Linked DNA regions of Diceros bicornis minor. The protein of the gene in region 3 interacts with the protein of the main gene of each other region in a pairwise test. Links are inferred from orthologs where the notes say so. Each region holds a gene or a part of one and is shown on either strand. Other genes may lie near its edges. The genes, in order: KANSL1, ISCU and NECAB2.

What was found.
Region 1: the proteins of NECAB2 (region 3) and KANSL1 interact in binary tests that used the Homo sapiens proteins (3 or more experiments, as listed by UniProt). The two-hybrid records come from large-scale screens. The link is inferred for Diceros bicornis minor from reciprocal best matches to the Homo sapiens genes NECAB2 and KANSL1.
Region 2: the proteins of NECAB2 (region 3) and ISCU interact in binary tests that used the Homo sapiens proteins (3 or more experiments, as listed by UniProt). The two-hybrid records come from large-scale screens. The link is inferred for Diceros bicornis minor from reciprocal best matches to the Homo sapiens genes NECAB2 and ISCU.

Annotation. Positions count from the first base shown.
Region 1 is NC_080757.1:44,760,801-44,764,967, reverse strand, and holds the start of KANSL1 (KAT8 regulatory NSL complex subunit 1), read left to right. Parts: upstream 1-1,394; 5' UTR 1,395-2,460; intron 2,461-4,167. UniProt on the Homo sapiens protein: Non-catalytic component of the NSL histone acetyltransferase complex, a multiprotein complex that mediates histone H4 acetylation at 'Lys-5'- and 'Lys-8' (H4K5ac and H4K8ac) at transcription start sites and promotes transcription initiation.
Region 2 is NC_080774.1:18,772,115-18,776,281, reverse strand, and holds the start of ISCU (iron-sulfur cluster assembly enzyme ISCU), read left to right. Parts: upstream 1-1,308; 5' UTR 1,309-1,323; coding exon 1,324-1,437; intron 1,438-3,042; coding exon 3,043-3,156; intron 3,157-4,056; coding exon 4,057-4,167.
Region 3 is NC_080771.1:33,094,339-33,098,505, forward strand, and holds the start of NECAB2 (N-terminal EF-hand calcium-binding protein 2), read left to right. Parts: upstream 1-1,640; coding exon 1,641-1,859; intron 1,860-4,167. UniProt on the Homo sapiens protein: May act as a signaling scaffold protein that senses intracellular calcium.

The DNA.
Region 1 (4,167 bases), on a different chromosome or scaffold from region 3:
TTAGAATTATTTTAAAATTTAAATCAATTAATTAAAAGAAATTGGAATCTTTGTGAATGGTACAAAAATCAAAAGACACAAAAGGATATGCAGTGAAATGTAAGTCTTCCTCCCACCTGGTCCCCTAGACACTCAGCTCCTCACCCAGGAGGAAACCACTGTTGCCAGCTCTTAGAGGGATTTTTGATTCCTTCTTATATTGGCTATATCTCAAAGTCTTTCCCTGTCTGTGAGATGTGTACCCTTTCCTTTCCAGGCCCTCATGACCTTATATCTGGTTGACTTCATACATAAGTATTTGTGTGTGTATATTTTATATACATATATAAAATCTCCCCCTATGGCCTTCCGGCTCGAGTTTTCATCACGTCGCTTCCTGGATGAAGAACCTACAGGGCTGAGGGGCCGGGGTTGGGGGTGATGGAGAAGAGGATCTAAAGGGGACTTAGGTAGGGGGTTCGGAGTGGCAGATTGGTGGGAAGGTCTACCAGGATTCCTATTTCTATCCCTCCCACCTCCAGGCCCCTTCCAGTTCTCTCGTCCAAATGTCTCTCGTTCCCAAGAGCCGAGACAGAGGCAGAGACAGCGAGATATACAGAGACAGAGACGCCGAGGCACCAGCATCCCTCTCCCCCTTCTGTCCCGCCCCACCGCTCTGACGGACATCTGCCATCAGCCAATGGCGCTCACGATGTGCCCCGGAAGGGCCAATGAGAGACAGAGGAGGGCGGAAGATTCCCCGCCCCCACTTCTAGGCTTGGTTGAGCCGTGCAGGTAGGTCCGGGGCCGGGGGAGCAGCCGTTGGCACTGGTGCCCCTGGGGGTAGGGGCACGAGTCGGTAGGGGTGATGGCGGGGAAGGGGAGGCGGCCTCGACTGCGGGAGCCCGAGGGGGCGGCCCGGCCGGGAGGCGGGGTGCCGAAGGGCCCGGGGAGCGGGCGCCGCCGAGGGCCCTGGAAGCGGCTGGACTGGGGGAGCGGACGCGTGTGTGGGGCACGGGGACCCCCGCTCCGCGCCCACCCGCAGGCCTGGGCCGCGGGCTGCCGGCCGAGGGGCCAGGGGCCTGGTGCCCGGGGGGCGGGCTGGGCTGGGCCCCGGGCCGGGGGCGCCGAGCAGAGTCCGGGGCGCCAGGCCGAGCCGAGGTGGGACGGACCGACGCCGAGAGGAAGGGAAGCTGCATCCTGCGGGCCGCCCCTCCTGAAGCGAGCCGGGGCCACGGCCTCAGGCGCCCCTGCCCTGAGCCCACTCCCCCCGCGCCCCCGCCCTAACAATGGGCATGGGGCAGAAGGAGGCGCCCCTCTGAGGGAAGGGGGGGGTAGGTTTGGGACTAGGGTCCACGGTGGGGGGAGGGGTGGGAACTCGGGCTCTCTCCTTTCTCTTCTCTTGGCTTTCGCGGTGGGGATCATGGAGGGGCTGTTAAACCCTCCTGAGACTGGGGTCAAGAGTCAAACCACCCCACCCCCCCTGCAAAAAAAAAAAAAATCTGACGACCGGTAAGGAAAGTGATGCCAAGTCTTCGTAGCCGAAGTGACAAACGCATAGCAAGAACAAATCCACTCCAGAGGTTTTTATTTTTAATTTTTCTTAAAAATGAGGGTACTGTAGTCTTCGATTTTTCGAAATTTATTTTTCAGAGGTGGGTGCTGTTATTTTTGTCCCTACTCGGGCAAGCCTCCATTTTAAGCGATGCAGTAACTGGTTAAGCTGGAATTTTCATTCAGGCCGAGGACTTGAACAAGGATCCTACAAGAGGTCATTTAAGCCATCCTCCTACCTGCAGGCAAACTTGCCTTCCTCCCATCCTCAAAATTAAGTTGTTTGTTCTGCTTTTAAAGATCTCTGTCTTTTATTTGCTACTAGCACTTAAGAATAGATTTTATTTTTCACGTAGAATTCGACTCTGAAACAAGCTTAATAAAATTTAGGACAATTGGAATGATCAGAGCGGTTTTAATTTATTAAATAAAAATTAAACATGACAAGGGTCTTTCTTAAAAGGTCAGTTAACAAATGACTTTTCAATCGTGTTTATGAAGTACGCTGGATAATCATTTTTCTATCTGGGATAATGGTTTTCTAATTATTTGATAAGCAATTTTGTATTATCTAAAGTATGTGTTACACATTTAATCCACTTTTTATGTAAAATATATTTCTACATATATATGGAGATACACACACTTGCCCTTTCCCAAAGGGGACTGTTTTGTACATCTTTTTAGGATGGTGAAGGAAGTAGTACTTCAAATCTATGTCTAGATAGCTTAAATTGTTTGCTTATTCTTGATTATTTTTTAGTCTAAATGCAAGTCCTCTCTTTCAGATACCTTCTTGAAACAAAAAATTTTTCTACCTGCTCCTACTTCGTCACTGAGGGATTACTACAACTCCCTTCTTGCTCATTTCTGAGTATTGTCTGAACTATTCCTGACACTATGAATGCTATTTGGATGCCTCTTAAGGTAAGATGTGTTTTTTTAAATTAAAGGCCTCATTTTATTTCTTTTCCTTTAGAAATGAGAATATTCTCGTTCTTAAATTTGCAGTCCTTCAACCCTCTCACCCACACTCTTTTCCCCTGGAAAACTACTATTGTGTTTGCTTCCTAGGACTGATTGGCTATTCCTTACTTTGTATTGCTACTATTGATTATTGGTCTTAAAATATTAATGAAGTTCTCAAATTAACTTCATTATCATGATGTGTTTATTTTTTAACTTTAAATTGTGACATCCTGCCTAGTTGTACAATTCTGTTCCAATCTCAGTGGGATGGATTGGCAATTCAGACATCCAGGTCCACTTTTGAAACAGTCATAGGTACTAGGGTGTGTCCCACTCTTGCAAATCTGTAGCTGATTCATGTGTTACAAAAGATGTGTCATTAACCATTTGTTTACTCTGAAACTTCATATAGTATATTAGAACATTCTAAGATCTGTTGGTTTACATGTACAGCTCTTTTGGAGAGTTCTGCTGCTCCCTAGTCCTTTGCCTGAGAATTTACACTATTTTTCTCAACAGAGAGCACTTTGTGCCAAGTTTAATCTCACAGAGTAAACCTCTTCTGGGCAGTGTGGACAGATGATCTTTAGATGAGAAAGCTCTCATTGATGTGGTGGTTCTCCAGGCTCTTGGCTCCTTCCAATCTCTTTTATATAGATGGCCAAAGGATTCTCCAATAGGACTAAGCAGAGGGCAAAGCCTAAGACGTGTAGGGAGGAAAGTAGGAGGAAGGATGGAGAGAGACAGATAAGGAGTGATGGAGTCCTCCACCAGCTTCACCAGGTGACATGTGTTGCCTTTCTTTGGAGCTAGATACTAGTGTAGTTAAGATTGTTGTGTGTTAATCTGCCCTGTGGAATTCCAGATTAATGTAGTGAATAAATCAGACAATAATGCAGTCTGTGTCACTTAAATATTTGGACTGTGGGAAATCTTTAGGTAAATGCAGACTGAGTTCTCATCTTCATTTATGTTCTAGCTGCTATTGTTGGGTGATGGGTGCTTATATTAGTATAAGGGAAGCCATTCTCCCTGTAGAGTTGGAGGGGTTGCGTGGGGGAACCCAGCCAGAAGTCCTGAACTCATAGGAATTGGAGAAGCTTGCACGAAACTATTTTTCTTTGGTATCAGTGTTTAGCACCAGGACCTGGTGGCCTCTGTTCTCTTTAGGAAGCAGTCAAGAGGATATCAGTGGGTACTAGTTCCCTATAAACCCAAGGAATTTGGGATCAATATATTGGATTTTATTTTACAGTTTCCTTGGTTTTAATTAATGTATTAGGTACATAGAGGCCTGCTTTTTAAGATGAAATGATGTTTAAGATTTTTCCTCTCAGTCTCTGAACCTAGGGTATTATAATATAGTTCCACAGTAACTCCTGAAGTTGTACCAAAGGCCTCTGGCAAGGCAGAAATACAGAATGGAAGTCAGTACTCCATACTCTGTGAGTTGCTACCTGTTAACTACTTAACAATGTAGTTGTGTGGCTGCCTTAATTTTATGTTCCCTACCAATCCTTTGATCAGTGGAAGACCTCTTCTGAGTCTAAACAATTTTTTTATTTGCTGACATTTTCCTCCTCCTTTTATTCCTTAAAAAAACTTAAAAACTGTAGTGTTTGATCTGGGCAGGAAAAAAGGCACTTTTTTGAGAGAAGAGGATAG
Region 2 (4,167 bases), on a different chromosome or scaffold from region 3:
TCTCTAAATACACGCCACTCACATTGTTTTTATATACTTGTAAAAGTTTTTTTCAGAGAAAGAAGCTTAATAATATGGCATATGTACGGCCACAACTTCGGACAGAAGATGGGTCTTTGGACCGGAAGTGGAGGCCATTAGAGGACGTCATGGAGGGAGCGTGATGACTGTGGTTAAGGGTTTGGAGCCATCTTGAGAAGGTCAATATGATTCTTGGGATAAACGCCTTGCTTGCGTCTAACCTGGCGCGTGGTTCAGTCTCCCCAGCAACTGAGCGTCAAACGCAGAGAAACCTCCGAGTCCTCTGGGAAGTATCGATTGCACCATCCACGAGAAAAATCCATTTCCCAAAGAGATTCCTCCCCTTTATGTAATGCCTGGTGCCTAGCAGGCGTTAAATAACACGTGCGAGATTTCTCGTTTTCTAAGACCGTATTCTGCAAACCAATATTAATAAATTACATGACTAAACATTTATTCAGAAACTCTTCACTGCCAGGTATTGTCATATAAATTGTGCCAGTTTGCTTTATATTGAAATAGACGCGGACATAAATATACGCATTTTTCTGTTAATCAGGGCATGGTGTTCGTTTCCTTCCTAATTAAGCTTCCCATTTTTGAGGTAGGAAAGTATTGGCGTGTTCATTTATTGCCTTCCTCCTTCGTTAGCAAGCTTAATGGAGCAGGGACTATGTCTTTCCGTTGGATCCCCAAAGCCTATTAGTATAGCGCCTTGACATATGATAGGTACTGAACACATATCTGCTCAATGGATGAAAAAATTGGCCTTGACTTAGTACAAAAGAGAAGATCAAGGCTTAGAAAGCTGATGTCATTTGCCTACAGTCACACAGCCAGGAAGAAGCAGAACCGGGATTCTAACAGGATTGTTCGAGTTTGAATCCCCACTGAGTCAAACTCTGGGCAACCTCAGACAAGCTACTAAGTCGCTCTGAACCTCAACTTCCTAAGCTGCAAAACAGAGTGAAGAAAGGTGGACTAGGTGATGCTCTGCGCCGTATTCCGGCGGTGGGCTTTGTGAACGCGAACGTAGGTCCCGCACTCCAGGAAGCTGAGATCCTAGCAGATACAGAGCCCAGCGCCGAGAACAAACCCGCCTGCGACCCCACAGCTCCCAGCTCCGAGCCCCGCCCGCCCTGAGGGGCGGGGCCCAAGCGCGGACACGTGCACGGAGCGAGAGGGCGCAGGCGCGACGTCGCGGTGACGTAGGAGGAAGCGCGCTCCGAGCTGGGAGCCGACTTGCGGGCGCACCCCACCCCTCGGTCTCGCGCTCGGCCTGCGCAGGCGCAAGCCCGCAAGATGGCGGCGGCTGGAGCGGGCCGTCTGAGGCGGGCGGCGTCGGCCTTGCTGCTGCGGAGCCCGCGCCTGCCCGCCCGGGAGCTGTCAGCTCCGGCCCGGCTCTATCACAAGAAGGTGGGCGCGGGCGAGGGGGCGCGCAGGGCCCGCGCCGGCCGGGGGGGCGGGAGTGCGACGACCGCCGAGGGGCCCCGGGCGTGCCGGCGGAGGCCCAGCCCAGGGAGGAGTGGCCGCGGGGCTCTGCGCGGCCGGGGAGCCCCTGCTACGGCGGGGGAAGGGGCGGCGCCCGGCCCCGGACGGAGGGGCCGCCCCCTCGCTCGACCCTGCCCCTCGCTGCGCAGGAACGCTAACCCGCCTGAAGCAAGCACCGGCTGCGGCTCGTGGAGCCGCCGCCGCCCGGGGCCCGCCGCCCGCCGCGGGGTCTCGCGTCCCGGCCTTTAACTTCCCAACAGTCGGGGGCCTGTTGGGACCTGCCAGCCGCATCCGGGGCCAGACACGCACACCGGCTCCAGCCAGGCCACTGCCCGGGCCCAGTGACCTTGGGCAAGTCACTGCCCCTCGCCGAGCCCTTTTCCCCATTTGTAAAATGGGGGTCTTAGCACTTCTAGATCTACGCGAGGTGATGCTCGTGGAGTCCTCGGCGTGATGCCTAGCACACGGGGACCGTTTATGGTGCCGCAGCTGTTACTGTGGTAGGAAGGAGCCTCTGAGCGGAGTCGGACACGTAACCAGCAGTCATAATGTTTTTATGTATGTTTTGGTTTTTTCGTGGGGGGAGGGGGAGAGGAATAGGCGCAACGTTTACAGCCCTTGCCTTCTGGGGGCGTAAAGTCCCCTAGACGTGAGATTCTTTGACTCCGGAAACTAAGCGAAGAATGCCGTACATCAACATGGGGCAGAAAGTCCAGATTGGACATGACCTTGTAGGTCCTTGGGCTTGGAGTCCGAGTCCGTGGTCGGAGAGGTGGGGGAAAGGAGACTGGAAGATCGGGATACTTAGAGCTAACTGGTAAACGGACCCAAGGCTATTAAAGCGTGTGTGCCAGTGTGAAGAGAGATTTATTCGCTTCTGGCTTCACGATGCCAAGGACTTCCCTCCTCCGCCTCCCGGGGGTGTGTTTTGTTGACATTTCACGCTGAATGAGTTCGAGCTAGCAGCCTTCCAGCCACCAGGGGGCGCTGCTGCACCGGGGGGCTTTCAGGGCCCTGAAATACAGAAACAGGCCTGATGTTATCATCGTACACAAATGCACAGGGTCCATAGCATTGTTCCTTCTGTAACAGTCTCCTTGAGGCTCTGGGAAAGCCTTACATTTCTGACCCGTACTTATTTTTAGAATTTTTGAATAGTAATCATTAACCTTTAAAAATGGATTTTATTTGGAAATAACAAAAATACTGTTTGAGCCCAAATCTGGTGACGTAGGTGGTTAAAGGTCAAGTAATTATGTGTGGTTAAAAACCCTGTGGAATTAAGACATGATTTGGCTGGTTTTTCTCTCGTATCTCAAATCTCTGAAGGTAGTTGGAGAGGAGATACAGAAAGACTTTGGGTCGCAAATGGTTGTCATTGACAGAGGTGTAAGCCTTCCTACCAGGGTGAAATTTGGGATTTAGTGATCGCCTGCCAGGTTCAGCCTGCCGACTTCCGGGAGCTTACTGTCAAGTCGGGGAGACCAGTACCAAAAAAGAGTCATGATTGCTCTCAACCTTTCGTTTCAGGTTGTTGATCATTATGAAAATCCTAGAAACGTGGGGTCCCTTGACAAGACATCTAAAAATGTGGGAACTGGATTGGTGGGGGCTCCAGCGTGTGGTGATGTAATGAAACTACAGGTAGGACCGGTTTTGATCTTGAATGTGAATAACAGTGACCCCTTTGCTTACACAGAGCTTCACTGTTTACAAAGCATGCGCACACACAGCATTTCGTGCAGACTCCATCTTGATTCCTGTGAGATGGGGTGAGTCAGTGTTATAAATTGTCAGAGCAAGGACTGAATGCTAGTCCCCCTGCTAGTAGACTGTGCTGACCCTTTCTGATATAGTAAACTGATCTCCCTTTTCTAGTCACTGGATCAGCTTAAATTCCAGCTTCAGCGAAGTAAAGTTTTTATGAATTTTACTGATCGAAGGAAAACCACAACCGTTCAGCTAGCCACCCTCAGTGAGACAAGAAATGTAATAAATCAAACCTCCCCCAAATTGGCAACAACCTGAAGGTAGTGATTGGCACTTTGGGGAAACCGTAGCTTTATGCACAATCTACTTCATCATGGTGGGTGGGCACCTTGCCAGAGGTTTTCATGCTTATCTTGGAAAACAGAAACAAGGCAGGAGGGAACCACTAAAGGTAACTTGGTGCCAAGAAAAAAGCAATAACCAGAGACCTTTAGTGCAGACCGTCCCAGTGCTTAAAGAGGCAGACTGACCCAGCAGCTGTGAGCAGAACTTCATAGCCAAAAAGCAGGCTAGCATTGCAAAAAAAACTAGGGAGGGGGCATATTTTTCAGCTCATCTTTACCAGCTAAGCCTGTATAATTCTGTATAGTTGTTCCCACGTTTAACTTTTCCTCACTGAGCTCTTTGAAACAAAGCAAGCGCGGTAATTAGTGCCAAAACTTAGTGTGGAAAGAAAGACCACAGCTCTTGGGGAGAGCCCCGGTGAACCTCGGTGAGGGCCAGGTTCTACAGGGCATCTCAGGAATCACTGCCTAACTCCTGTCTCTTTTCTAGATTCAAGTGGATGAAAAGGGGAAGATCGTGGACGCCAGGTTTAAAACATTTGGCTGTGGTTCTGCCATTGCCTCCAGCTCATTAGCCACCGAATGGGTAAAAGGGAAGACG
Region 3 (4,167 bases):
AGGAGCGGCCACAAGCCCAGGAGGCGGCCTCACCAACGAAGAGGAGTGGGGAGGCCAGGCTGCCCGGACTCAGGCCAGGGCTCAGGAACAGTGGCCACAGGCCGAGGCAGGCCCAGACCTGTGAGTGGGGCGAAAGCTGCCAGCCTGAGCAGGGATCACCAGGGCCAGCTGAGCACCACGCCAGGAGGACTCCAGGCCCCGCTCGTTCCAGAATCAGGTCCCAAATAAAACCAGAGCCTGCCTCCACTCATGTGTCTGAGGATTCTACGCTTGGGGAGGGGCCCGATGCCCAGGACCCTTCTCTGGGAGCTGGGGGGAGGGCACAGGGCCATGTAGGAGGAAGTCCTTGGACTGGGGGGTTGGGAGATAAGGGATGGTGCCCCAAGTGGGGGACAGCTATGTAGAGAAGTGAGGGGAGGGTGTGGAGAAACGAGGTGCTGGGGAGCCTTCTGCAGCCCTCCCACCCCTCCAACCTAGTCCCTGCTGCTCTCCCACTTGGTTCCAGCCACACTGTCTCCTTTCAGTTCCTCATCAGGCTTGTACCTGCTGCAGGGCCTTTGCACAGGCTGGTCTCTAGCCCAGGGCATTTTCCCTCCTCTCTCTTCCTCTTTCTCCTCTTCTTCCACTCTCTCAGCATAAGGATCACCTCCTCTAGGAAGCCTCTTCTGACGAAGACCCCTCCAGGGCCACATGGCCACCAGGACAAATCCTTCACTCATGGCCCAAAGTGCCACCTCTTTATGGCAGTTCAGTTGTAATGGTTTATTTATTTGTGAAATGGTTCCAGTATCTGGCTCCACCCACTTGGATGTAAGCTCCCGGAGGCCAAGGACCCAGTCTGTTTTGCCCATTATTGGAATCCGGCGCCTAGCACAGGGTCTGGGGCCTAGCACCTATCGGGTGCTCCCTAACTAATCCTTTGGACCAGTGGATGGATGGATGGATGGATGATGGATGGACGGATGATGGATGGGTGGATGATGGATGGATGGATGGAGTGTGAGGGGAAGAGGATGTTCTGGGGCGCAGCCTGGTTCCGGTCTTTGTGTAATGGGAGGCGGAGGTCTGGGGGAGCATGCACGCCCCCGGGAGGGAGGAGTAGGTGTCAGTGGGAGTGATGGGGGAGCCCGCGCGCGTGGGCACTCATCTCGGGAGCTGGAGCCGGCAGAGGGCGCTCCAGGCTCGCCGGACACCTGAGCTCCGGCCCCTGCGGCGGCGCCACGGGTGGGGTGGGGGGACCTTCGGGAGGGCAGCCCCCAGGGATGCCCCCCACGCAGCCAGACCCCCACCAACCCCGTGCCTACTGGGCAGCGCAACACCCCCCCATGCGGCCGGGCCGGGGTCCAGCCGCCAGGCCTCGCGCTCCGGGCGGGCAGCCCCCTGCCGCCGCGCCTGGCCGCGGGAGTGGGGGGAGGGGGGTGTGGACACGGGGCACGTGGCTCGGGGTCCGGGCGGAGCGCCCCCCTCCCCCTCCTTCCCCGGAGGCGGCCCGTCCCCGCGGTGGCCGCGGCCGTGGGGGCCGAGAGCGGGAGGGCGGGGCGCGCGGGCGGCGCGGGGAGGGGGTCGCGCGGGGGCGGGCCGCGGGCCGGGCGGGGGTCGGCGGGCTTCCGGGCGGCGGCGGCGGCGGCGGGCGCGGCGCGATGTGCGAGCGGGCGGCGCGCCTGTGCAGGGCCGGCGCGCACAGGCTGCTCCGGGAGCCGCCGCCGCAGGGCCGGGCGCTGGGCGGGCTGCTGCGCTGGGTGGGCGCCAGGATGGGCGAGCCCCGGGCGCCGCTGGCCCCCGACGCCCCCGCCGCCCCTTCCGCGGACCCCGGCCCCGGCCCCGCCTCGCCGCGCGGGGGCACCGCCGTCATCCTGGACGTGAGTACGCGCTGGCCGGGACCCCGAGTCCCCTCCTCTCTCGGGGGCGACCCCGACGCCGCCCTCCCGGGTCCCCGCCCCGACCCGCGTCCTCTCCTCCCTGCGCAGACGACCCCGACCCATCCCCCTCTGCGCCCCAGAGCGCGAGCCCCCAGCCCGTCACGTCCCGGCCGGGGTCTGTCCCCGAACCAGGACGACCTCTCCTTCCACCAACCTCCCTTCACTTCTCGGGACCCCCACCTTCCCGGAGCCGGGACTCTGGAGCCCGTCGCCCCGGCCACTGCCCCCCTACTTCTGTGCTGGCCAAACCGTCGTCTTTTCCCCAGCCCCGCGCCTCGCTCTTTACTCTCATCCCCTCCTGAGACCGGAGCCCCCTCCTCCTCTCCACCCCGGATCCCTGCCGAGTCGCTACTTTTCTGAGAGACAACCCCCCCCCCCCCCCCGGGCTTTAGGTGCCGGCTTTCTCGTCCTGGCTTTAGACTCTGAGCCCGGTATTCCCCTTTCGCTCCGACACAGCCTCTTTAAAAGTGAAGCCCCCTCCCCAGCTGTCTTCCCCTCCCCTTTCAGTGGAGCCAAACCACCCCCATCTTCGCTGATCCCGGACCCCCTGGGCTCCCCCCAGCCACCCCCACTGCACTCCTAGGCCCCTCTGTCCCCCATTCCCTTCCCACCCTCCCTCTATTCACCGCCCCCCCCCAGTCCCCTCTGGGACTCAAAGCTCCACTTCACCCCCCCCCCACGCACTCCCCCGGGTGGGAGAGAGATTCTACAGGGTGGATGGCCGCCCCGTGGGAAACTTCTTCATTCTGGGGTTCCTGCCCCCCAGTGAGATCACGGGTGGTGGGACATGCATGTCCCAGTGAGGGTCCTTTTGTGGTGGGGGTGGCCGCAGGATGGGGTGCTTCACGTGTGTGTGGTGGCTTTCTGGGAGTGTTGTGTGTGTGTACTGCACGGCCCTATGAGTGGGGGGACCGTGGGTCTCCTCTCTTCTGGAAACCGTAGTTGACTCTGGGTGGAGAGGACTGGGTAGGGAAAGGGAGCTGTGCTCTGAGTGCTTGTGGCTCCAGTGCCCCCAAACACACACACACAGCCCGACACACACTTACACAGCTAGACCCCCCCTCCCTCTCCCCCTCTCTCTCTCTCCCCCTCCCTCCCTCTCTCTCTCCTCTCAACCCCAGCGGAGTTCACGCTGAAAGCCCAGGGCCACAGGGTCCGGAGACGCAAGCCTGCCCTCGTAGGGAAGCCTGCACCGACCCCTCCTGATTCTCTCTGACAGTCGGGAGGTGGGCTTCGAGTCCTCATGCTGGCGGTGTGTGGGCTCTGAGTCTGCATTTCCTCCTCTGTGAAATGGGGTGATGAGCGGGCGTCGGGGCTCACAGGCTGGTGCAGACTCCTCGAGCCGCATCCCTGTGGTCCTGTCATTCCCTTGTTTAACACCCCGGCCCAGAGCAGGCACCTGAGGGTGGGACCCCGGCCTCAGGAACCTCACAGTCAGGAGCAGGGGTGTGGGGCGCCCAGGCTGGGGCTTTGAGGAGGGCCTGGAGTGGTCCCATAACTGCCTCCCTTTCTGCTCCAGCCACAGTGGGTTCCGCCTGGTGCCCTGGACTCGGGGTTCAGCTGAGGGAGGGGGGTGATGTTCCAGAAGCCCTCCCTGAGCTGCTGCTTCAGTCTGTCCCAGCCCCAGGGGCCTGATAATGGATGCCCGCCCCATTGGTGGAAGGATGGGGGGGCATCCTCCCTTGGCACCAAGGCAAGGACCAAAGATGGGGTGGTCATGGGGGGGCCCTCCCCCTCCCCCTCCCCCTCCCCCTCCTCAATCAATCAGCATGGCTTACCTGGTCCCAAAAATAACAAGAGAAGGAGTTATCTGGTCTCACCTGAGGCTTGGAGGGGGCGGGGGGGGGGGGGGGGCGGGGGGGGGGGGAGGCGTGCCCTGCCTCCAGCCCCTCATGATGCAGCCAGAACTTTGCATCTGCAGCTGGTTCCCTACTGCCTACTTCCACCCACTCCCCCACCCCCAAAATAATCCAGCCCTGCCCGCGGCTGGTCCACTCGCCAGGTCTCGAGGTTCTGTTAGCAGACCCCTTCCTTCAGACTTAACCCAACCTCCCTGGAGAAAACCGGGGCTCCCCAGGGGTTCTGGGAGGGGTGCAATGGTGTAAGGCGTGTGGCTGCGCCCATGGGACACAATTCTGAGTGTGCGACTGAGCACAGGACAGTGGGTGAAGCCACGTGGACCGATAGCTCTGGAAGTCCACCCGCAGGCGTGTGGATGGGTGTGAGCGTGTCCACGCGCGTGTGCGTG